Linked DNA regions of Arabidopsis thaliana. The protein of the gene in region 1 purifies or fractionates together with the protein of each later gene. This does not show direct contact. Each region holds a gene or a part of one and is shown in the gene's direction. Other genes may lie near its edges.

Region 1 (16,029 bases):
TCCAACAGATTATCTGAAGAAGTTTGCTGCTGAAGAGACCGATCTTTCGCTTCAGAGGTTGGAGGAATTGCGTAGCCAGTTGGGTGAGCTCCAAAATGAAAAGGTTGGTTTTGCTGTTAGATCTCATGATATGGGACTTATATTACAAGAGCATGTGCACCTGTTTTCCTTATGTTAACTTTGAATTCTTTTCAAAATGTAGAGCAAAAGATTGGAAGAGGTAGAGTGTTTGCTGAAAACGCTTAACTCGTTGTGCTCGGTTCTTGGTGAAGATTTCAAAGGCATGATAAGAGGGATACATTCATCTCTGGTTGATTCCAACACTAGGGATGTGAGCAGAAGTACTCTTGATAAGTTGGATATGATGATTGTGAATTTACGAGAGGCCAAGTTACAGCGAATGCAGAAGGTTACAAGTCTGAGCTCTTCTTTGTAATGTAGTGCAAGTTTTTCTGCGTGATTATGGTTTCTGACTCTCATCACTTTGTTTTTCTAGGTTCAAGATCTTGCAGTGTCCTTGTTGGAGCTCTGGAATCTGCTGGACACGCCTGCGGAAGAGCAAAAGATATTTCACAATGTCACATGTAGCATCGCTTTGACTGAGTCTGAAATAACTGAGGCCAACATACTTTCTGTTGCTTCCATTAAACGCGTGAGTGCACAGGACCAAACCTTTCTGTGTTTTCTCCCTGTATTGTTTAGTCTATCCGTTTATAATAGTATAGGAACAATCTTTTTTATAATGTGAGTTTGTTTTACAGGTTGAGGATGAAGTCATTAGGCTTAGCAAGATCAAAATAACTAAGATCAAAGAGGTGATACTGAGGAAGAGGCTTGAGCTTGAGGAAATATCAAGGAAGATGCACATGGCCACCGAAGTTCTTAAATCAGAAAACTTTTCAGTTGAAGCTATAGAATCTGGTAAACCATTATTAGGAACAGCTTATTCTTTACATAATATGATGTGCACAAACTCCAGAAATGTTATGCTCATTATACTGGTAGATAACATGAACATGCTAATAATAACATGTTTCCACTCATCTTTTAGGTGTCAAGGATCCTGAGCAGTTGTTAGAGCAAATTGATTCCGAGATTGCAAAGGTCAAAGAGGAAGCTTCAAGCAGGAAGGAGATTCTTGAAAAAGTGGAGAAATGGATGTCAGCTTGTGAAGAAGAGTCTTGGCTGGAAGAGTACAATCGGGTTAGACATTTAAATCTAAATCTATTCCTTTGCCTCAATCTTTTTTTTGTTTTGTTCTCACATCGTTGGCTTCGCAGGATGATAACCGGTACAACGCTGGAAGAGGAGCTCATCTTACATTGAAGCGTGCAGAAAAAGCCCGTTTACTTGTCAATAAACTTCCTGGTAACATTCTTGCTCTTTAGATTATATTACAAAAACCTACAAACTCATAACTTATGATCTTTTTTGTCTATTGCTTTCTGCTGCTATTGATGCAGGGATGGTGGAAGCTTTGACCGCCAAAGTCACTGCTTGGGAGAATGAAAGAGGAAATGAATTCTTATATGATGGGGTAAGTGGTTTTTTACTGATCAATGATCTGTTCTACACAATTATCAAATCAGCATCTTTACACAAAAGCACGTAAATATTTCAGGTCCGAGTCTTATCGATGCTTGGTCAGTACAAGACTGTATGGGAAGAGAAAGAGCATGAAAAACAGAGACAGAGAGTAAGGAAAACTGTTTTTTACTAGGAACCAAGGTCACTATGAGCCAAAAGCATCATTGGCAATTTGACATTGTTACTTTCATCTCAGGATATGAAGAAACTTCATGGACAACTCATAACAGAGCAAGAAGCTCTTTATGGGTCTAAACCAAGCCCAAATAAAAGCGGAAAGAAACCACTGAGAACACCAGTAAATGCTGCCATGAACAGAAAACTCTCCCTTGGTGGTGCCATGCTTCATCAAAGCTTAAAGCATGAGAAGGCAACACTCAATAGCAAAAGGACGAAGTACTATGACCAGAACGCTACTAGTAGAAGAGATTCAGCTCTTCCAACTCTTTCAGGTACATAATAATAACACAAGATTTTGGTTTACACTTAACAGAGACCAAGAGAGAGATTTGTGTTAAGAGAATTATGTCAATATGTGTAGGGAGGAGAAACTCAGAGCTTCCTGGTCGTATCAGATCAAAGAACGTTCCGGTTGCAGGAAAAGCTGCGAGATCTCCAATGCTTAGGAAGCCTCTTTCACCTGTCACTTCCAATATCTTGAATTCCCCAGAAGATCATCACAAGGATGCTTACACAACAAAGGAGAGAATCTTGACACCTAAAACCAACGAAGAAAAGAAAAGAGCTGTTCCAACAACTCCTGCAGCTTCAGTCGCTATGACAGAGGCAACAACGCCGTTCACTCCTGCTGTGGAGAAGAGAATGGATGAGGAAGACGTTATTGTTGAGTATTCGTTTGAAGAGGTTAGGGCCGGTTTTTGCTAAACCGTGAAAAAACTGGTCTCCTCTCTTTAGAAAGCTGCTACACCATGTATCCGATTTACTGCTTTTTCTAGAAATTTCAAGTCAGATACTTCGTTTGATGAGACAAGTGAAAGAAAACTGGTTTCTTCCCTTTTGTGTCTATTCACACATACACTATAAATTAATACTCGATAAATTAATAACCTCTATAAATTAATAAATTCTTCCGGTCCGAGTTGGAACTACTATAAAAAACAACACAAATCGATAAATTAATAAGATAATATTTTTTTTGAAAATCTTAAGTAAAATATAGTCTCATCAATATCATAAATTAATAATTCTATAATATATATATATATATATATATATATATATTTAAGAAAATTTAGTGAAATATGATTATATTGTTGTTTGCTTATTCTTCAACTTTTTTGGAGTTCATCTCTAATCTTCCTTACTGCATTAAAAACTTCTGGGGTTGTCTTTTCAAATCGCATCAAATCGCATCAAAAAAATTATGAAGTGAAATTTTGAAATCATAGAATTATAACAAAACTCCTTATTTTTACATATAGAAAAGTTTCAAAAATCTGAAAACCAAAAATTCTCTTTATAAATTAATAAATTAATATCTCTCTAAATTAATAAAATATCTTTGTCCCAACATTATTAATTTATAAAGGTTTTATTGTACTAAACTAACACATACTAACAAAAGAGTTGTTTCAACAACACCGTATCTTTAGGTGGTTAACATTGATTCGTTTGGGAACATTTTCGAGAGATGCGTTTAATACAGTGAGATTGGGTGGTTTCCTTTACTTGTGACGTCAACAGATGGTTACTATTCTGGTGGTCACAGACCTTATAAGTGAGTGAATTTTGTTTCTGTTCTTGAACGTTAAAAAATGAGTCTTGTGAAAGAAGGTACTACTACTTCTTCTGAGTTTATATACGTCACCAATTTAGAATCTAACGGGTTGCGTGCAAAATTTCAAGAATTAATAGTTTTTTTTTAATTATGAAAAAAAAATCAAGAAAGTCAAAGAAAATCTACTAATTATCTTTCCATTTTAAATTTCACTAATTAAAAACTTTTCCGATTATATAGATGAGAGAAGGGATGAGATAAGCTAACAACAAGTAACAAGGTAAAGAGGCAACCAATTTACAAAATAAAAAAAATTGAATTCTGTTTAGACATTAACACTGACCCTTTCCTTCTCGAATTTCAGCAAACAACACCAACAAAACAAAAAGGGACTGTGTTATTTGATTGTACAAGTACTAAAGATCTCAAAACAAAATGAAAAAGAGGATCTTGGCCATTCTCTGCATCAAAACCAAGAGTTTCACTGGTTACATATCTGCAAAACCATTTAGAGTTCCACTGACAATGGGTGTGTGTTGGCATTGGCAAAGTTACCTTGTCAATGTTTTCAGAAAAGGGCTCATTGAACACATATTAGTCGATATTTGGAAGCCATAATTTGAAATGTACTACATAATCTGGTCCACATCTTCAAACCAAAGCCAACCAAAAAAAAAATCCTCAGCTACAACAACAACATCGTTTTATAGTCTATGGTTTCAGAAACATTTCCTGTGAACCACTGATGGTCCAGTCTCGTCATAATCTGCTTTAGTAACGTGCTGATTCTGCGGAAACACCACTTTAGCTAGTATGGCTCCTCCAACCCAAGCCGAATACATCCCCAAATTCTCCGGCATATATTCTGGCGGTTTCACCAGTGTTGGCCTAATGGCAGATGAGCACAAGTTTGCTTCTTTCTGGAATCTACTTTCGAATCCTGCCATCGACCATTCCAACAAACCCTTCAGTTTTCCGACCCAAAAGATATTCAAACACACTATGATATCAAGTGTTGTTAGTACCTGTCATGGAGGTTGTACCACCACAAAGTACAGTGTTCTCCAAGAGCTGCCTATGGTTCTCAGATGACACTGTGGAGATAATCCGGACAAGCTGCTCAACGATTCCATGCTCCTCCAGTCCCAGTATTGATGGCTGAAACAGAGCTTCTCCAACCGAGTATCTCTCTCGCCCGATGCTTATCACCTATAAGGCCATTGGTTTTGTTATCTATATGTATAAGGTAACAACACAAAATGTAGAATCTTGATTTCACACAAACCTGTCCATCAGGAAGAGTATGCTGCTCGATTTCACAGTTTTGGGTTTTTTTGTAAGCAATTTCGTCCTCGGCACAGTTTGCATACTGCTCCTTGAGTTTTTCAACATCAGACATGCTGAGATTCATCGACGGGTTGGTTTTTCCAAGCTCTTGGGCAAATAATTTAGTTAGCTCGGTTCCACCTAGCTCAAACCGTTTCGAGGCAATGTGTTGTACTGCACCTTCAAGAACTGGGGCAATATCTGAAAAGAGTTGGATCAACCACAAAGTTAAAACATCAGACATAACAACATCCTGATCATATCCAGCTATAAACACAAGAAGAATCCAAAAAAAATTGGTTTAACAAAACGTTTAAGATCATGGAAAAAGGTTAGTATAGGGAATCAGCATCTCATGTAACATCATAACTCACATAAAACATGGAATTATGAGTTTATGACAAAGTGAAAGACACAAAGAGTAACAAAGGCCAAGCAAGTTATAATACCTATCTTCCCATGACCAATATCAACAGTGCAACCGGAGATGCGTCCAACAGCATAAAGGGACAACACTGCTTGCTCAGATGCATAAAATCCAGAGACATTGAATGTTTCAAACATCAACTGCACCAATTGCTCCCTAATAGCCTGTCCACAAACAAACATTTGCAGAGCCAAATCAGGTCGAAACATTAAAAATAACAACGTCTTACTATCTAAAATGAGGTACTAAAAGAACAAAATTGTTCCTTTTCATAATCCAACAGAACAGGATTATGGGAATTGAAAAGAGACTCAAAGTTGTAATCTTTTAAATTAAGAACAAAGGAGGAAATTTGGAGATAAGAACCTTAGGAGTACAAAGTGGATCTGTAAAAAGTATATTGCCTTCGTTTCCCTCTTCCCATCCAAGCCCAGTGTAGACAACATAACGCAACAGATCTTCCATAGCATCCCAATCTCTAATCAAACCCCTTTCAATAGGATCAAGAGTGACATCCTCAAAGACAGTGGTGGGGTTATCAGCTGAAGAAGACCCATCATCAACCATTCGTTTCATTTGAGAGGGAATTATCATTGCAGGAGACTGGTCAGGAATTGCTGCTCCTGCTTTCAGGAACTTAGAGCCAGCATCAACAACTAGTGCTTCCATTGTTTTCACACACACACCCAAAAACCCTAAATTCCCAACTTTCCACAAATGCCAAGATTTAGTGGTAGCAGCAAGTCAGTGAAGCTAGAGAAGTAGAAATGAGAGAAGGAACTAGAGTGAGAGGCAAAAGAAAGAACGGTTTTTTCGAAGAACAAATCAATGGTCTAGAAGGGAAAATGGAAGCAGCTTACGAGTTTGCGTTGAGAGAGAAAATCGAAGACGAAGAAGAAGAAGAAAAGAAAAGAAAGATTATTTCTTTGGAATTCAAAGCCCAAATAAGGCCCATTATAAAGCCTATTACAGCCCGTAATTTCCACGTCCAAAACGGTATTGTTTTGAGTCTCCGTCTTTTTCTTGTTAACAAAGCCAGAGCTAATAAGATCCGATTCGGAAGTTTCTTTGACATCAAAACACAAACCCGGAAAGCTTCGTCTGCCATTTTTCATTCTTCTAAGCCCTAGCTCAAAGCTTTCTCTCTCAAATCCGCCATGACTAAACAGCACGCGAACTGGTCTCCTTACGATAACAATGGAGGGTACGGATCGTGTGACCTTTAATCAACCTGCTGGGTTTCTTCGCTTAGTGTCTTTCTTCTTTATTCTGATTTGCTATCTGGGCGATTGTGTTACGATTCACTTACTGTGAATTTAATCGTTGTGTGTTTTTCAGAACATGTGTGGCCATCGCTGGATCGGATTACTGTGTTATCGCCGCCGATACTCGGATGTCTACTGGTTACAGTATTCTTAGTCGCGATTACTCCAAAATCCATAAACTGTAAGTACCCATTCTCTTTCTTCTCTCACTGTTGATTCTTTGGGAGAGTGATTCCATGCTGGCAATCGAACTATTATTGCTGTAGATTATTAGGGTTTTTTTGCAATCGTAATTCGTAGATCTGGGTGAAACCAGTTATATATGGGTGGAGATAAAATAGGTTTCTTAATTATTATTAGACATGGCTTTTGATAGTGGTTACAATTATCTCTATATAAACTTTGTGATTACATTGATCATTCTATAATCCGGTTTATTGCTTAGCTTATTCGTTTTCTTATAACGTTTATTGACAATGTGTGTAGTTCTTTGAGTTTGTTCAACCTTACGTAAAGAGTGTTTGTTACTGTGTTGTTGATCTTATATACCACAAGTATTCATTCGTATGGAAATAGATAGAATTCTCGTGTTTTTCATCTTATGTAACTTGTAAGACTCTTGTTAAGCTGTTGTCTTCTTTTAACTTTTCCAGAGCGGACAGAGCTGTTTTGTCTTCCTCTGGCTTCCAGGCTGATGTGAAAGCTTTGCAGAAGGTTCTCAAATCCAGACACTTGGTGAGTTAAACTTTGGTCGTTTGATCAATTATCTTTCATCCTTCGCAGTATTAGAAAATGATGAAAGACTTGTGTAAGAGTGTTTTCTCTGTGTTTGGTTTCCTTCAGATCTATCAACATCAGCATAACAAGCAGATGAGCTGTCCTGCAATGGCCCAGCTTCTCTCCAACACGCTTTATTTCAAGCGGTTTTTCCCCTACTATGCCTTTAATGTTCTAGGAGGGCTTGACGAGGAAGGTAAAATGCTCCTCTTTTTTTCTCCGTTATGATGTGACTTTAGAAGAGGGTACTTTGTGTGATCTTTAGTCTTGAATATATCCAGGAAAAGGGTGTGTCTTTACTTACGACGCTGTTGGCTCATACGAGAGAGTTGGATACGGTGCTCAAGGTTCTGGTTCCACACTCATCATGCCTTTCCTTGACAATCAGCTCAAGTCTCCAAGTCCTCTTTTGCTACCTAAACAGGTTTGTTGATATTCTTCATTCGTGCTTTTGGCGTTTCGCATTGTAAAGATAAAATGAATCGTTCTGTTGCTTATTTGTTCGTCTTCTGCCACCATGTAGGATTCAAACACGCCCCTTTCCGAAGCTGAAGCAGTTGACTTGGTTAAAACTGTTTTCGCATCTGCCACAGAGAGGGATATCTACACTGTAAGTTGTCCTATTTGTGTCTTCTTTTGTCACCACGCCACCTAAAGCTTGCCTTTGTGCTCATATCATTTGCATTTGGTTCAAGTCTTCAAAATATTACCAAAACATTTACTTAATCTATATCCCTTACGTTGCACAACTACTTCATCTTCCTCAAGTTTTTTTCTCTAACTAATGCTTTGTGGATTGTTTACTGTAATAGGGAGACAAGCTTGAGATTATGATACTTAAGGCCGACGGTATCAAGACCGAACTCATGGACCTGAGGAAAGACTAAGCTCCTTTAGTGCATTTAGCCAACCTTATCGGTTTGTTATTTCACTTCAACATCGAGCTTCCTGAGTTGTAGAACTCGTATGAAATGCTACTGGGTTTGATATTTTACAGTTAAAATCATGACTCGTGTTTGAAGTTTCTCCAAAACTGTTTCCTTATGTATGAGAATCACTCGAATCCTTGTCTTAAATCAATGTTTCTCTCACTATTTATGGCAATGTTTTTACATAGATCACATTAAGATATTTAATAGACAAGAATAGAATCTGGAAACTCTTTTCTTCAGAAGCTGTTCTCTGATACCCATCCCTTCTTCTCTAGCTCTTGTCGCAATGCCTCCATAGGTAAAAAATGAAGAAAAGTGTGAGCATATTATCTATTAGCCAGTGGCAATAACAGAGATATATCACTTGAGTATCCGAGTTGTTACCTTTATTCGCTTTCTATTGACATCAAAGTCGAAGTTCCCTTTACGGGATGCAGATCGATATTCCACTTTCGAGTTCTTCCCAGGAGTGAACAAGAATTCAACATCGTCTACTAACTGTCAAAAACCAAAGGGTCTTGTCCAATATATTGAGGTATGGAGGTTGAGAGAGCAACATAAAGCTTACTTAACTTACCCCCAAGATTGGACTTTCATATTCCACATGAACGTAGTCATCCTTCTTCTCCACAATCCGCGGTGTAAATTTATCCGGTTTCACCGACTTAATCTGCAACAATGGTGATAAAACCGCTGTAACTACTGGAAGATTACAAGAACTTCAAATGGTGACTGGATTCATATCTTGAGATTGCAGTTCATGTTTAAGGATTGTACCACATTAAGAAGCTCTTTCATTGCAACTTGCCTGTTCACAGGTGTTTTCCTTCCTCCATTATAGTTCCTGCCCACCAGGACAACAAGACAGTGTTTGATGATCAAACATTTCAAACCAGAAGACCCAAATCTGAACACAAAAAGCTCTTGAATTACCATGGTGGAGCATAATGCACTCGATCACTGATATTCTCAGAAGTGGAGATACAGTTATTAGTGGCAGGACATAGAGCCAATCTCTCGTTCTTTTGTACTCCTAGATAATCTGGTTTTTTCCCACTAAAACCACTCACAAATATTTCATCATCATAATAACACCTCAGCCGTGGGGATGTAGAATTCCGGTGAAGAAAACATACCTAAGCTGGAATATGGCTCCGATCATAGCTAATTCACTGCTCCTAAGAATGATATCTCTTCCAATTTCACAAAGATCTCAAAATCAGATACTTGGTTCGGTGATAAACACGAGCACAAGCAGGAGAGAAAGAGACTAGTACCTTCGACCAATTAGCTTCGGATGTTTGTCATATGAAGTCTCTGGAATCGAGGCACTGATACGACGGGCATAGAAAACAAGTTTTCTCCGGCATTTGTGGTGGTACAAGCAAGTGGTCGGTGACGCCATGGAAGCCATCTTCACTAGCTCGGATTTCTCTTTACTCTTTGGAGTAAGAGAAGAAGAAGAAGAAGTTTGTTACTTCTTACAGGGCTTACTACTATCAATCTATTATTGGCCCATTGGAGTTTTACTCGTTCGTTCAGGAGCCCAATAACAGAAAACCCACATATAACTACCAAACTGATATGATAGGATTTTTTTTTTTTTATGATAGCTGTAAAATGTTGTTAATAGGTACACCAAGTTAATTAATAGCGTAATGTAGAAATATTTTCAAGAAGCCCGTCTAGCTCAGTTGGTAGAGCGCAAGGCTCTTAACCTTGTGGTCGTGGGTTCGAGCCCCACGGTGGGCGATTTGTTATTATTTTTTTTCATTTTTGTTTTTTCCTTCACTAGTCAAGTGTCAAGTCCTTTGAGAAATAAAATCATCATACCAGGGTTACAAAAAAAAAACCTTCAAAATGTCAGTTGGTAACATTTTAAACCTCTAAAGAATTCCACTAACATTATAAACCACTAATATAATTTTGCTAACATTTTAAACCTTAATTTAAATTTACATTACTTTATTATTTATTATGATTTTAAGATTAATAAAAAATTCATCATCTTCGACTATTCACCGTTCGACCATGAAACGAAAATTTTTTTTATATCAAATTCATTGTATATGTTCACCATCATTTTGTTGTAATTGGTATTATGAGATTCTAATTTATCCACACGAAGCATAAAAATGCTTATGAATCAATTTCTCAATTAATTTTTCCGATTATATTATAATCTTCCAAAACCAAGGTTAAAACAAAAATTTGGAATTTTCAAGATGTAAAGTATGTTCACCGCAAGATGCTTGGGTTGCTTTGAATCAACCGGGGAAATTACCGAAATGTAACATTTTCTGACGCTAGTAGTAAAAAATACATATTATTTACACAGTTTGAGTTTGGGCTTCTGAAAGATTGATTGACTAAAAGTCATTAAATTACAAATCTAAAGTTAAAAGTGTTTCGTCTGAAATTTCTTGTTAGCTCCAAAAGAGGAAAACGAATCCAAGAAGGAGAAAAAGTCTCATTCCTCAAGCTCCGCATCATTCCTCCTTCATGGGGTCTCTGCATCTTACAATTTAGCACTCTCATATTATTATTCCTTAAACCCCTTGTTTTGATTTTGTTTCCAGATTTAAAGAAACCCTAAGACCTCTTCGAAATCTCCCCAGAAACACTTATTTCATTTCTTCCTTGGCCTTGACTACGCGTCTTTCCTTTTACTCCGGAAGGAAGATCCAGAAAGGTTTTCTTTCGATCGTTGCTTTTGACTATGCATAGATCTGGTACAACAATGGCGTGGAACGTATTCAAGTTCTGTACTGCCTTACGAGGTCTTGGATCGATCATGATCCTTTTGGTTCTTGGTGTTGTCGGTGTTACTTATTACGCTGTCGTTTTGACTAATTATGGTCCTGCACTCTCTCAAGGTGGCCTTGATTCTCTTGCTGCTCTCACTATCTTAATCCTCTTCCATTTCCTCGTAAGTCAATCATCTTCCCCAATTCAAAATACTAAAGCTTTGTGCTTTACTCAATTCTGTCAATAAAGTTTGGTCCTTTTTTATTGCTTTAGATGTGAAGTCTTGTTCTGTTTTAGATTGAAGTTTTGTGAATTTAGACAAGGATGTGTTTTTATCTTGGTGCAGCTGGCAATGCTTTTGTGGAGCTATTTCTCAGTGGTTTTTACTGATCCTGGTGTTGTGCCTCCTAATTGGAGACCATCTACTGATGAAGAAAGAGGTGAATCTGATCCGTTAAATAGTTTGGACTTTGTTGGTTTACAATCCGATTCTTCTTCTTCAAACCCAAGAGTTCGGTTTTGTCGGAAGTGCAATCAACTAAAACCTTCTCGTTGTCATCATTGTTCTGTTTGTAAGCTTCCTCAGTTTCTCTTTTCTTTTCTTACCATGTATACTTAAGAGTCTTGAAACTGAATTGTTGTGAGGTTGATTCCAATATAGGTGGTCGGTGTGTGTTGAAGATGGATCACCATTGTGTTTGGGTTGTTAACTGTGTAGGAGCACTGAACTATAAGTATTTTCTTCTTTTCTTGGTAAGTTTGTTTTCTACCACTACTAATGTTATAGAATCTTCTTCAGCTTGTAATCTGGTCCTCTTGTCATAACTTGTGTGTGTTTTTCTTATGTTCATATGCAGTTCTACACATTTTTAGAGACGACCCTTGTGACTTTGGTTCTTATGCCGCACTTCATTGCATTCTTTAGTGATGAAGAAATACCTGGAACCCCAGGCACTCTTGCTACTACTTTTCTTGCATTTGGTATGTTCCTACTTCCTTATACTATATATGGTATGTAGTGTGTAACTTGGTTTCATTTATTAATCATTCTCACCTTGTTTCATCGTACAACAGTTTTGAACTTGGCATTTGCGTTGAGCGTGATGGGTTTCTTAATTATGCATATTTCCTTGGTAGCTGGCAATACCACAACTATAGAGGTAATTCCTTTTCCTTTTTCTTTTGACTTGAACCTATAAAGTTTCCCGTGGCCAAAGCTAGAAGCTCCTTTTTCATAAACGAGAATTTGGATCTTTAGAGTTTTGGTGCATCTCATGGCTAAGGCTTTGAACTTTTGCTTAAATGAGATTTTTGGATCTTTCAACTCCTTACACTTTGAGGTGCATCCCATTGCTGCTTTGAGCTTTCCTTTGCTCAAATGAGAATTTAGGTCTTTAGACTCTTTACTCTTTCTCATGAAACTTTCTTGGTGTTGAGTTGTAACAGGCATATGAGAAGAAAACCACTACAAAATGGCGGTATGACCTCGGTAAAAAGAAAAACTTTGAACAGGTTAGCTAGTTAAAGTCATTGGCTTAGTTTCTTCTTCCATCTGAATGTAGCACTTCAAAGTTTTTAAGTTGCTTTCTCTTCTCCCTCACTGCTATGGCTTTCTTTTTTGGGGATTCATCGTGTTTAGGTATTTGGAATGGATAAGAGATACTGGTTAATCCCAGGATACACAGAAGAAGATCTAAGGCGAATGCCGGAGCTGCAGGGACTTGAATACCCTTCGAAACCCGACTTTGATTCCCAGTGATGCTCAAGAAGACTTTGATCATCATCATCATCCCATGTAAAACAGCAATACGTAGAAAAACAGAGCAAGTGGCATGTCAAGGAGAAATCTACTAACATGAAGATGGATGCTTCACTTTAGGCAGTGTAGATGTCTTCCCATGGAAGGCTAAGTCATCATCAAATTTGTGGGTTTTGAAAAGAGGATGATTACAATTTAGCTTTGTTGGCCACATATATGTTCATCATCTTCAATAGTTCATATATAGATATGATCTTATTATAAATGTAGAACACACATGATTTACCCTAAATCCTCTTGACTCTTTTGTTTGAATCAGCTTTTACCCAATATGGTTTTGTTATGCAATTATAACATAATCCCATTTGACCAAAACAAAAACCTCAAATAATATCCAAACCAATACATATCCAAATGTCACATTAAAAATAGAGAACAAATACCCAAAAAAACACAGTTGTTGAAATTTAAAACCATATAATCCTCAGAGTAATAAAGGAAAGAGTACCAATGGATAGATTCGAACCAAAACCATCATCAAAAGCATTCAATGTCCAAATACTCGTAACCTTTAGGAAGTTCCATTAGCTTGGCCACTTTTGCTTCTGTCATTAATTGCTTCACTGGAGGATACGTCGATGTCTTTATCATCAACTTTTCAGTCACTGTTCCTTGTGTCACAAAACGTGACGCTAATGCAAATTCCTCTTCATTAGAACCATCGAAATTATACATCCACACAGTACAAACGCGGAAGAAATCATCTGGAAACGGTTTTTCACCATCCCACCATTTGTTACGTGCTCCACCAGTAATAAAAGATTCACCTTCTTCTATAGGAGCATTGTTGTTCTAAAATGCAAATATGACATGTGAGTGATCAAATTATTTATCCACATAGAAAAAAAAAACCATCAAGTAAAATGTACCTTGAAGAGGATCTCCAGATCCATCATCTCTCCATCCCACAAAAGTAAGACTTCCTTCAAAATCTCGACTTCGTTCGGATTTCTCACATCGACACTCACGGATAAGGATCCAGTCCGTTTCATATGATAAATTTGGCTCACCATAAGCTCAAGCCAAATTCTTATTTTCTCCTGAATTCATAATACAACAAACCATGTCAAAACAAAATATTATGTTCAAAATTATATCCAAAGGCATGCATGTTGCTTGTACTTGTACCTGAGCGAGACTTGATATATGGTAGCTAAGATGAGGGTAACTCATCCCACCAACCCAATAATCTCTTTTAAACATGCTTAATTTAGGGGCTTCAACTGAGTAGCCAAAACAGTAGATAGATTTGATGTCAAAAATCACCAAACGAGGTGTATTCACTTCCATCCTATTCATCAGACAAGGCCAAGTCACTTGCAAGAATTCTAATTTCTTGTTTTCGATCTTCAACGCACTTGCTTGGTTTAAGAATGTGATTTGCAACACAAGCACCTCAAGAGAGGAGCAAGCTTTGATAACGTTGCTAAGGACACTAACATCGGACATGATGTCATAAAGCTTCAGGATCTTAAGATTGCAGCAGTTCTTGAAGGCTTTCTCGAGTAACTTATATCGAGTAAGTGAGAGTGAAGTGAGGCTAGGATGACAGAATGCACTTGGGGACAAGTGAAGACTATTATATCTAACAAAAGGTGTCATGCAACCTATATTGTTGACAAGAGTAATCTCCTTGGTTTGTTTCTCACGAGTCACTGTTTGGATCCACCTATCGATGAACAAAAAAATGAACTGAATATGGCTGATTGTGCAGCTCTCTAGATGACCACGATGATTGTTTAAAGTCTGCACAACACAAATTGAACTGTTATATGTTATACAATAATATTTAAACATATGCATGCAATAATCTTTGTCAATAAATCCTACATTGGTTTACATATATATGTTGAACGCTTTGGAAAGGTTGAGATGCGTTGTATAGCTAGTTATGCATGACTTTTATATGTTTAATTCACTTTCAAACATCAATAAGTTAAATCTGTTAATTGAAAGAGAGAGGTATATCATTAGATTCAATTGATACATTTGTGGGTATATTTTCTCTATGATGAGTAAACTCAAGAGGTAAATTCTGTATAGATCTTCATTCACTATACAATTCTAATACATTCACTAATCAATTTCATATCTCTAGATTGTAATTTTTAATAATGTGAAAATTATGCCGCGAAAAATCGTTATCTAATACAAGATAGATCATAAGTTAGCTAGATTTTTGGCGCGAAAAACCGTTATGTGAAATAAGAAAAGTATTTCACAAATCTCTTAGTTGATGAACTATAACATATATATCTTTCACCAAACGTTGTGTAGAACATTTCTTCTACCACAACTTCAAAAGTACTAAATGATCTATCCAAACATCAGTTTATTGGTAGACCTATTTAAAATGTAGAAAATCTTCAGAAAGAAAAGGATTAAAATGAAACCTTATAAGAGAAAGGGCTTGGGAAAAAAAGAAGTGAAATTAACAAACCTTCGTCATTGATTCAGCAAAGCGGAAAGATAATTCATGAACATAGCTGGTCGGGTTTGTTCTCATAATATTTCTCATGTCCACGCAGAGATGTGGTATGCGCTTCCACTGATCCACCCATCTTTTCGACAAGGTGCTTGTTATCACGGCATCTTTAGTTGATAGTGTCGAAAGGATCTTTTGTAACATTTCATCCGGAAGCATGCTTATCCGATCGACCGGATATTTGATCCCTTTTCCTTTTCCTTTAGATGATGCTCCTGTCCTTAAAACTTTGCATCTTGCATTTGATGCTAATAGTGGTGGTGTTGATGATAGTGACGAGGGCAATGATGATGATGATGATGATGATTGTGTCGTCATTGATATTGGATGGTAGAGGTGATAAACTGTACCCTGACAGAACTATCTCGAGAGACAAGAGAAATGGAGTTTACGTTGATAGAGGGAGGAGAAATTGAGGACTATTGTTTATAATATCACTCGAAGAATAAGAAAATAAAATATTATAATAATTTATTTATTGTAATAGATTTCTTTGTTTGGACTAGCTATTAAATTTTTTAATTTTCCTTTGACTTTTTTTTTTTGAAAAAAAAAAGATATAAGGAAATTACTTTTAAAGGACATTTTAAAAATTTATAAGGAGAAGAATATCCATTTGAGCTATTAATTTCTCCCAAATACATTGAAGTTGGACAAATTAAATTGATTCTGTGTAAATACAAGATTATCTTCAAATGAAAGTAAATTGTAGACTATATTCTTAGATACGTGTACGAACGATTATTACTCTATTAGGCGTGAGATGCGTTACATTTTAAAATAAAAAAAAATCACACATTTAAGATAATTCTCCCAAGTAGTGATGGCTTATAATCCCACAAAAAAACCCTAAAATAACTAACAATTTTCAAAAGTACAGACGAATATATTACTTCTTCTTATTGTTTTTAAAAGTTGTGTTTGA
Region 2 (9,994 bases), on another chromosome or scaffold:
CAAATACAAGTGACGCAAAGCCTCTTGTACTGAAAGGTGGAAACATTGAGTTTGAAAATGTACACTTCAGGTAGGTGTTGATTTTAGTGGAACATTACTGTCATACTAATCGTTGGAGCCATAGTATCTTGGGTATGAAAGTGTGTTAAGATTAATATGAGTAATTAACTCAAATTTTATTTAACTTATGAACTCAATACACCCCAGAAAGTCTTTACTAATTAGCTTTGTTGAGCTTATCAAAGTGGCAAATTATAAGACATTGCATGATTTGGATATCAGCTTCATGTTGTGGCTGAAGACGAAGGGGGTTAATAACTTATGTCTATTGCCACATCATCTTTCTCTTTTTCTACAATTACAGTTACCTTCCAGAGAGAAAAATATTAGATGGAATTTCCTTTGTCGTACCGGCAGGAAAAAGTGTGGCAATCGTTGGTACTAGCGGGAGCGGTAATTCCTAAACCTCTTCTGTTTAAGCATCTAAGTTCTGTGTAAATTTGTTATTCTGGTATACTGTTGCAAATCTTATTATTTGTTCTATGGCAGGCAAGTCAACAATTCTTAGGATGCTATTCAGATTCTTCGACACAGATTCCGGAAATGTAAGCATTTTTTTTGTTTGTGAAATGTGGGGTCTTGTTTGGAAGCATTGTAGCAACGAAAGTACACCCTGCTGCAGAGAAATTTAGTGAAGAAAATGCTTGGTATCTAGATAACATCTTTTTTGTCATGTTGGTTAACAGATAAGGATTGACGGGCAAGATATAAAGGAAGTGAGACTAGATAGCCTCCGAAGCTCCATAGGAGTTGTGCCGCAAGATACTGTAAGTTGGCATTTCTCTACTTCTCATCGTGAGGCTTTTTGTTATATACACCACTATGACCTGCATTCATTTGTTTCTCGCCTTTCTTCTCATTGTAACTTCTCTGGTCATGCTAGACACTTGATTTTTTTTATGTTTTTTTTCACTTTTCTTCTCTTTTATTTTTCATATGTATCATTGTTAGCTTTTGTGAAGGTATAGCACTCCAAGTTTTGTTGTTCTCAAGGGTAATCTCTACTGCACTGCAGGTTCTCTTCAATGACACAATATTTCACAACATACATTATGGACGTCTCTCAGCTACAGAAGAAGAGGTACCAGTCAACTTATACTTGGTGGAAATGTCAAGTTTAATATCAATAATCCTCATCTAACATAAATTTTCAATCCAGGTGTATGAGGCTGCTCGGCGTGCTGCAATTCATGAAACAATCAGTAATTTCCCTGATAAATATTCCACGATCGTTGGGGAAAGGGGGCTCAAGGTCAGTATTTTGATGTTATATCTGGAATGCATGATTGAGTTATGGGGAGTTAGTCACCCGTCGTTTTTGTCATTGTCATAATCAAAGTAAAACAAGCTAAGTCAATCAGGCTTCCAAGTCAAAGTTCACCTGTTGAAAACTTGATGAAGAATATGATCTAATAAACTAGTTTCGCAGGACTGTAACAATCATGAAAAATAAAAGATTTAACTGATTGAGGTTTTCTATATAATGGCAAAGAGTAGCATTGATGAGTGACCATCCTGAGTTTGAGTAGAGTCATATATTGATGGGGTTTTTGTATTGTGATAACCATGGAGTGGTGTTGTGTGCAGTTGAGTGGTGGAGAGAAACAAAGAGTGGCACTTGCTCGGACATTTTTGAAATCCCCTGCGATTCTGTAAGTAACTTTGCACAGAAGCAGCATTGAGTTTACTTATGTGATTATGTACGTGTCTAGTCCTCACATACATAGAGATGGTTGGTGTACACAGGTTGTGTGATGAGGCAACGAGTGCGCTGGACAGCACAACAGAGGCAGAGATACTGAACGCACTCAAGGCACTAGCGAGTAACAGGACATCTATCTTCATTGCCCACAGGCTGACCACTGCGATGCAATGTGACGAGGTTTGTAGTAAATAGTGTTTGTCAACTTAGCTCAAAGAAACAATGTTTTTGCATAACTGAAACTTTTGGTTGCGGGCAGATCGTAGTACTGGAAAACGGGAAGGTGGTGGAACAAGGCCCCCACGACGAGCTATTGGGAAAATCAGGGAGATATGCGCAGCTATGGACACAACAAAACAGCAGCGTGGATATGCTTGATGCAGCTATCAAATTGGAATAGTGAACCTCAGAGCCAAATGTGTAAAATTTATATTTATCTCATTGATTTTCTATGGAGCTTATATAGTTAATAGAGTCCCAAAGAACACAAAACAAAGGGAATAATAAATAGTGGTGAATGATATAATTTTAACACGAGTTTTTGTTGAGCAAGTAAACTTACGATAAAAAAATGATCAATTTTATTAGTTAAAGCCCAAATAGGCCCAACTAGTTATTAATTAATTAACAAGAAGAAGTCCGTGATTTCGAAATTCAAACGAAGCGCCATTTCTTTCTCCTCCTAGGAAACTCTGCAATGGCCATGGCCTATGAGGAAGCTCGCAAGCTCCGTCTTCAAGAGAATCACAAGCGATTTCAAGTTACCCTTCATCGTTACCGCGTTTCTTCTTCTCCTCCTTCTCTGATTCGTTTATCAATTTTGATTATTGAATCTCAGGATTTAGGAATTTCCCAGATTTCTAAGACTCTGACTCAGATTACAAAGAAAACGCCTCAGGTTTCGTGTTTTTTCCTTCCATTTCTGCTTCATTCCTAGTCCAATTTTGTAGCTTTACCACAATTTCAGCTTCTTCAGCAGCGTAATCACAAACCCATCGATAAAGCCCTCTTAGCTACTGCTGAACCAAGACGCTCTTCCCGTGTTCGTACCGTAATTTCTTCCTATCGCGATGATGTAATTTTCCCAGCTTTCTCTTACTTCTGTAATAGATTTTTCACAGCAATCAATCAACCCAATCCCTTGTCTCTTTTCAGGTCGTCGTAGACACTGGTCGTACTTCGAATCTGAGGAGATCGCGACATAGCTCTACATGGGCGACGTAAGTGCCCTGCTCCACAATTTTGCCCTAAAAAACTATCCTTTCATCTGATCAATTAGTTAAAATTCATCAGCTACATTTCTCGACCTCTCCATGAGTGCAAGTTTGCATCTTATGAAGAAAAGGTTGGAGCATTCAAGGCTGCAGAGAAGTTCCAGAGGAGCCTTAAATCTCCACATCCTTACTTTGTGAAATCTATGGTTCGCTCCCATGTTTACAGTTGCTTTTGGCTGGTACGTTCGTTCACAACACTTGTGTGTGTTTCTTCTTCAAGGATTTCGTGTTAGTACCTTACTTGACCTACATGGGTTTGCTTGCAAATTTCAAGGGGCTTCCTTCAAGATTCTGTGCAGACAATTTTCCTGAGGAAACTATGGAAATAGAACTAGAGGATGAAGAAGGCGAAGTGTATGAAGCAGTGTACATTGGTAGAAGAGCTGGACTCAGTGGTGGTTGGAAAAGGTTTGCTCTTGATCATAAATTGGATGATGGTGATGCTCTACTCTTTGAATTGGTTGAACCAAAGAAGTTCAAGGTATGTATGTGTCTTGAACAAGAGTCATGTGGTTGGAGTTAGTTGACATTCTCACATGTTGATTATAAAATGTTTGCTTGGTGCAGATCTATGTGTTTAAAGGAAATGAGAACGCTAATCTTACAAGCGCCAGAAAGAGAGGCAGAGCAACGACGCCAAGTGAAGAAGAAGAAGAAGAAGAAGATAAGGATGTTGAAGAATCAGGTGATGAGGAACACAGCTCAAGAGCCACTAAGAGATCATCCGTAAGGTTACTAAGGAAGAGGAAAGCATAAGAGAGCTTTCTTTTGTCTACATGCCCCATATATTTTTTTGGTTTTTGAGTGGGCTGCTAATACTACTAATACTAATGGCATATTTGTAAGTTTATCAACCCAAGGTAAACTTTGTTTTTTTCAATTTGAAAGTAGAACTGAAACTCTGATGAGCGGCTTTGGTTCGGAAATTTAAATTGTTTCCTCTCAGTTTTGGTTACTAGGCGATGATGAGCTATATACTTCTGATGATACCATTTAGACCAACTCCGTCACAAAATAAACAAATTAAAATGGAGAGAGTAAACGGGCTATTAAATATCAAAACTGGGCCTTACTATGACAAAAGGCCCATTTAATCTATTTTCCTTTTATTTAGATGAGTCGGCTCACAAATTAACATTTCTTTTCCTCTACTCCAAAGATATCTCGGTTCGCAAAAGTCTATTTAATTTCATAGCAATCTCACTTTTCTCTTCCCCCACCCTCAAAGATCTCTCAAAGAATGGCTTCCGCGGCTGTTGCATCGATGGTTCTTGACCCTAAAGCATCACCGGCCTTGATGGATCTATCCACCGCAGACGAAGAAGATCTCTATGGCCGCCTCAAATCGCTTGAACGACAACTAGAGTTCACCGATATCCAAGAAGAATATGTGAAAGACGAGCAAAAGAATCTCAAACGAGAGCTGTTACGAGCACAAGAAGAGGTCAAACGAATTCAATCCGTGCCTTTGGTGATAGGTCAGTTCATGGAGATGGTAGATCAGAACAACGGCATCGTCGGATCTACTACTGGCTCCAATTACTATGTCAGAATTCTCAGCACAATCAATAGAGAACTCTTAAAGCCTTCTGCTTCCGTCGCTCTTCACCGTCACTCCAACGCCCTTGTTGATGTTTTGCCTCCGGAGGCTGATTCTAGCATCTCCCTTCTCAGCCAATCTGAGAAGCCTGACGTCTCCTACAATGTAATGTTTCCTTTTTTCCAAATCTCGACTCTGTTTTCTGAATTAAAGTTAGGGTTTTTGAAACGATCTTTGGTTTCTTATGTGGTGCTTTATCTTTTTGTGTAGGATATTGGAGGATGCGATATTCAGAAACAGGAAATTCGTGAGGCTGTTGAATTGCCTCTTACCCACCACGAGCTTTACAAACAGATTGGTATTGACCCACCTCGTGGAGTCTTGCTCTATGGACCTCCTGGTACTGGAAAGACTATGTTGGCTAAGGCTGTTGCCAATCACACAACTGCTGCCTTCATTAGGGTTGTTGGATCCGAGTTTGTGCAAAAGTATCTCGGCGAGGTATTAAAAATCATAGCTTTATTGAAGGTTTAGGTCCTATTGAGCGATTCTATTTGGTGACTAACTGGTTTTTTAATTGCAGGGACCTCGTATGGTTCGTGATGTCTTCCGTCTTGCCAAGGAAAATGCTCCAGCTATCATCTTCATTGATGAGGTAGATGCCATCGCTACTGCTAGGTTTGATGCTCAAACAGGAGCCGATAGGGAAGTTCAGCGTATTCTCATGGAGCTTCTTAATCAGGTGAGAACAAATAATGAATTTTAGTTGTAATTCAGATCTTATGTTGTAGAATAATGGATTTTAGTTGTGTCCTTAACTTATTGTGTTGAATTCGATGTAGATGGATGGATTTGACCAGACCGTGAATGTCAAGGTCATAATGGCAACAAACAGGGCAGACACTCTAGATCCTGCTCTCTTACGTCCTGGAAGACTTGATCGTAAGATTGAGTTCCCCCTTCCTGATAGACGTCAAAAGAGGCTTGTTTTCCAGGTAAGTTAATTACTACAAGCACTTAAATAACTAGTTAAAGAGATATGAAACCAAATGTTTTCTCAAAAGAAAGTTTTGACTGATATCTTAGTTTCTGTCTTATTGATTGGTTTTTCCTTGTGTAGGTATGCACCTCCAAAATGAACCTTAGCGATGAGGTTGACTTGGAAGACTATGTTTCACGGCCTGATAAAATTAGCGCTGCTGAGGTTAGTTTATTTTGCTTACCATTCTATTCTTCCCGCTATAGTTTACTTTTACCATGATATATCCTCCAGTGTTTCTGGGTCACCACCTAATGATGTTCTTCAAAATATGCACTTGAGCATAATCATACTGTTTCAAGCATTATGTATGAATGTTAGCTGAGTCGTTTGTTAATCATTGTCCTGAACTGAATTGTTGAGAAATCAATTGTTGGCAGTAATATGGTTTGATTTTATCATGTACATGGGAATTGTTCCTAAAAAGATTGCATGTAATGATGATAGTTATTAATGACACTATTTTGATTTTATGTTGAACAATGCAGATAGCAGCAATTTGCCAGGAAGCTGGTATGCATGCGGTGCGAAAGAACAGATATGTGATACTACCTAAGGATTTCGAGAAGGGCTACCGCGCAAATGTTAAGAAGCCAGACACGGACTTTGAGTTTTACAAGTGAAGAGAAAGCAGAAGTGGAACCAGATTATGGCTGTTGTTAAAATTCCAGTGTGTTTTGAGAATTATTAAGGACATGGAATCAAATTTGCAGTTAAATTAAGAACTAAGTTGCATCTCCTAATTTCTGTAACTCGAGTTCACATTTGTTTTTAGTCTATCAGCTTTTTACAGTTTAATGTATAAGAAAAACTGGGGATGGTGTCCTTAGAATTGCCAGAGCATGGTAATAATTATGTCTCCTCTGATTAAAAAGACAACAAAAATAGTGATGATATTAGGAGCACGCTGCACTGCTCAATGTTCATAGAAAACTTCAGACTTCAATAATGCCTAAATGTGTTGGATCTTGTTTTGGAGTTGGTGATAGATGATGAAATGACCAGTATTACTATTACATAGTATCCGCAAATCAAGAATGATGCAAATCAAGAGAAAACAGTAGCAAGAGTGGTTGGACAGGTAAGAACTATTACCATATCTAAATGATTACTTTAAAAATAACAACTTGGATCAAGATGGTTTTTGTTTTCATGTATTTGTCATTTTGCTATCTCATAAGAATCTTAAGCTTGGTCAGTCTCTGGGTCTCTCTACATTAGCGTTTGTTGCGGTGTTTACACACCAATATGATTTGATCTAAAGACTCCTTTTGAAGACTGTCTTACCCTTAACGAATACGCCTCTTTTGTTTAACTTCACCACACTCTCTCTCTCTTTCTTCTTCTTCTTCTTCTTCTTCTTCTTCTTCTTCTTCTTCTTCTCCACTAGTCCCCACATACATTGCCTTTTCTTCTTTCTTCTCTTTCACCATTTCAAGATTGTGTTATAGTCCGCTCAATGCAGTAGAGTGCAGAGGTCTGAGCGCTCCATCTGCATAAGTTCTTCTTCCTCTATTGCTGAGTTCTTCAGTGCCCACAATTTTCTTACTTCGCTAGCTTACCTCTCTACTCCCAGGTTCTCTTTCTCTCTTCTTCTTCTTTTTGGTTTTTGTATTTTTCCTTTTAACTTTCTGTAATTGTCTGTCTCTCATTGTTGGGAATTATACTTAAAAATCGCCATTTTCTCCGGCTAGGTGGGTAGGAAACTTTCAAGACTTTAGATACAGGCTAGTGACGTGGTATATTAGTTCCAATTCGCTGGCTACACGTTGTTTGTTCAACAACTCCGATAAAAATCAGACACTCAAAACTCATCTTTATTTACTTAGTGACATTGTCCACATGATGGACAGACCTCTGCTTCTTTCTCTAGTGACAATATCTTTTGGCAAAAGGAGTCTGCTTTTCTTTGCTCATCAAAGTTTTGTGTTAAAGTTTGGCTCTTTAGCTTTATTCCTTTTGCTTTTTTTTTTGTGCTGGATGCTTCAATCTCTTATCTTAGCCTCTTGGATTGTTTAATCTCCCAATGATAAAGATAAAGATAGGCAATGGCATACTTTTTCTTGAAGATCTAACTAGTATCTTTATTTGTTTTTTCTTCCCATCTGTAGTTTTTTATATAACTGATATGCTTTTTTCTTTCACAACCGAATATTAGTTATCAACTTTCAATGTTGTGATCCAATAAATGAAGCTTGCTTGGCCAGTTCCTTAGAGATACCTGATTAGCTTAGCTTTCCTTGCTGCTGCATACTGGCTTGTGTAGTGGAAGTCATTGCTTATCATCTTCTGCTTTTCTTTTGGAGCAGGGTCAAGAAGTCAAGCTGATGATGCAGTTCCATTTCCAGTTTTATGTTGGTCCAGTATTTACCTTGAGACCGTCAAAGGGGTTCTTGTCTACTTGTCTTGTCTCTTTCTTGTTTGTCACAACTACTTTCTGCTCTTATGCTATTGCCGACCTGAACTCGGATAGGCAAGCTCTTCTTGCATTTGCTGCTTCTGTTCCTCATCTCAGACGACTCAACTGGAATTCCACTAACCATATCTGCAAATCATGGGTTGGCGTCACCTGCACTTCTGATGGTACTAGTGTTCACGCTCTTCGCCTTCCAGGAATTGGGCTCTTGGGACCAATCCCTCCAAACACACTTGGTAAACTAGAATCACTCAGGATTCTCAGTTTGAGATCAAACCTCCTCAGTGGTAACCTTCCTCCTGACATTCACTCTCTCCCTTCACTAGATTACATCTATCTCCAACATAACAACTTCTCTGGTGAGGTTCCTTCCTTTGTGTCCCGACAGCTCAATATCTTAGATCTCTCATTTAACTCTTTCACCGGGAAGATACCAGCAACGTTCCAAAATCTGAAGCAATTGACAGGGTTGAGCCTCCAAAATAACAAACTTTCTGGACCAGTACCTAATCTTGATACAGTAAGTCTGAGACGTTTAAACTTGAGCAACAATCATCTTAATGGTTCAATACCCTCTGCACTTGGTGGCTTTCCCAGTTCATCTTTTTCCGGAAACACATTGTTATGTGGACTTCCTCTGCAACCCTGTGCCACCTCCTCTCCCCCTCCTTCGCTAACCCCACACATTTCCACGCCTCCATTGCCGCCATTTCCTCACAAAGAAGGTTCAAAAAGGAAACTACATGTAAGCACTATCATTCCTATTGCAGCTGGAGGGGCTGCTCTGCTGTTGTTGATCACCGTAATTATATTATGCTGCTGTATCAAGAAAAAGGACAAGAGGGAAGACAGCATCGTAAAAGTAAAGACTTTGACTGAGAAAGCAAAGCAAGAATTTGGAAGTGGGGTGCAAGAACCTGAGAAGAATAAGCTGGTATTCTTTAATGGATGCTCCTATAACTTTGATCTAGAGGATTTGTTGAGGGCATCAGCAGAAGTACTAGGAAAAGGTAGCTATGGGACAGCATACAAGGCTGTGTTAGAGGAATCCACAACTGTTGTGGTAAAAAGGTTGAAAGAAGTCGCAGCTGGAAAGAGGGAGTTTGAACAGCAGATGGAGATTATCAGCCGGGTCGGGAACCATCCTAGTGTGGTTCCCCTCCGTGCATATTACTACTCCAAGGATGAGAAGCTCATGGTTTGTGATTATTACCCTGCTGGTAACTTATCATCACTACTCCACGGTTAGTTTTCTTCCTACCTTCGTTTAATGGTTTATATTTACCTCGTTGGTGTACTTAAGAATATCTTGATTTCGATGCCATGACAGGTAACCGGGGAAGTGAGAAAACGCCTCTTGACTGGGACTCCAGAGTAAAAATCACACTATCAGCGGCAAAAGGTATAGCTCATCTCCATGCAGCTGGAGGTCCAAAGTTCAGTCATGGAAACATAAAGTCCTCAAATGTGATTATGAAGCAGGAGAGCGATGCGTGCATTTCTGATTTTGGACTGACCCCTCTGATGGCTGTGCCGATTGCTCCAATGAGAGGTGCAGGCTACCGCGCACCAGAAGTAATGGAAACAAGGAAACACACACATAAATCCGATGTTTACAGTTTCGGTGTACTTATACTAGAGATGTTAACTGGGAAGTCTCCAGTGCAATCACCAAGCCGGGATGACATGGTTGATCTCCCGAGGTGGGTACAGTCAGTGGTGAGAGAGGAATGGACAAGCGAGGTGTTTGATATTGAGCTGATGAGGTTTCAGAACATTGAAGAAGAAATGGTACAGATGCTGCAGATTGCTATGGCATGTGTAGCTCAAGTGCCTGAGGTACGACCCACCATGGATGATGTTGTTAGAATGATTGAAGAGATACGAGTTTCAGACTCTGAGACCACTCGGCCATCTTCAGATGACAATAGCAAACCCAAGGACTCCAACGTCCAAGTTTAAA

Evidence for each region.
Region 2: the proteins of PBF1 (region 1) and RPT3 purify together in Arabidopsis thaliana (affinity purification with western blotting; 2 studies listed by BioGRID, with this or other methods). This does not show direct contact.

The regions. Positions count from the first base shown.
Region 1 is NC_003074.8:22,464,016-22,480,044, reverse strand, and holds PBF1 (N-terminal nucleophile aminohydrolases (Ntn hydrolases) superfamily protein), read left to right. Parts: upstream 1-6,105; 5' UTR 6,106-6,235; coding exon 6,236-6,282; intron 6,283-6,416; coding exon 6,417-6,524; intron 6,525-6,996; coding exon 6,997-7,078; intron 7,079-7,186; coding exon 7,187-7,316; intron 7,317-7,401; coding exon 7,402-7,544; intron 7,545-7,643; coding exon 7,644-7,730; coding exon of another isoform or gene 7,731-7,734; intron 7,735-7,932; coding exon 7,933-8,007; 3' UTR 8,008-8,276; downstream 8,277-16,029. Other genes in the region: MAP65-4 (microtubule-associated protein 65-4), read left to right, coding at 1-103, 203-409, 497-652, 762-921, 1,052-1,203, 1,281-1,368, 1,464-1,537, 1,622-1,696 and 2 more; ARP7 (actin-related protein 7), read right to left, coding at 4,045-4,265, 4,351-4,534, 4,611-4,852, 5,101-5,242, 5,445-5,747; AT3G60810 (DUF1499 family protein), read right to left, coding at 8,289-8,342, 8,437-8,550, 8,630-8,722, 8,830-8,896, 8,986-9,108, 9,189-9,245, 9,330-9,466; AT3G60800 (DHHC-type zinc finger family protein), read left to right, coding at 10,772-10,981, 11,147-11,372, 11,462-11,553, 11,658-11,781, 11,875-11,960, 12,247-12,312, 12,440-12,559; AT3G60790 (F-box family protein), read right to left, coding at 13,097-13,411, 13,489-13,659, 13,748-14,365, 15,060-15,422. UniProt on the Arabidopsis thaliana protein: Non-catalytic component of the proteasome, a multicatalytic proteinase complex which is characterized by its ability to cleave peptides with Arg, Phe, Tyr, Leu, and Glu adjacent to the leaving group at neutral or slightly basic pH.
Region 2 is NC_003076.8:23,564,879-23,574,872, forward strand, and holds RPT3 (regulatory particle triple-A ATPase 3), read left to right. Parts: upstream 1-4,173; 5' UTR 4,174-4,276; coding exon 4,277-4,741; intron 4,742-4,846; coding exon 4,847-5,077; intron 5,078-5,159; coding exon 5,160-5,318; intron 5,319-5,418; coding exon 5,419-5,571; intron 5,572-5,696; coding exon 5,697-5,780; intron 5,781-6,103; coding exon 6,104-6,238; 3' UTR 6,239-6,976; downstream 6,977-9,994. Other genes in the region: ABCB25 (ABC transporter of the mitochondrion 3), read left to right, coding at 1-70, 365-453, 550-605, 747-827, 1,076-1,141, 1,220-1,312, 1,648-1,712, 1,807-1,942 and 1 more; AT5G58280 (AP2/B3-like transcriptional factor family protein), read left to right, coding at 2,460-2,660, 2,739-2,837, 2,918-2,982, 3,056-3,215, 3,311-3,517, 3,604-3,792; AT5G58300 (Leucine-rich repeat protein kinase family protein), read left to right, coding at 7,943-9,275, 9,362-9,993. UniProt on the Arabidopsis thaliana protein: The 26S proteasome is involved in the ATP-dependent degradation of ubiquitinated proteins. The regulatory (or ATPase) complex confers ATP dependency and substrate specificity to the 26S complex.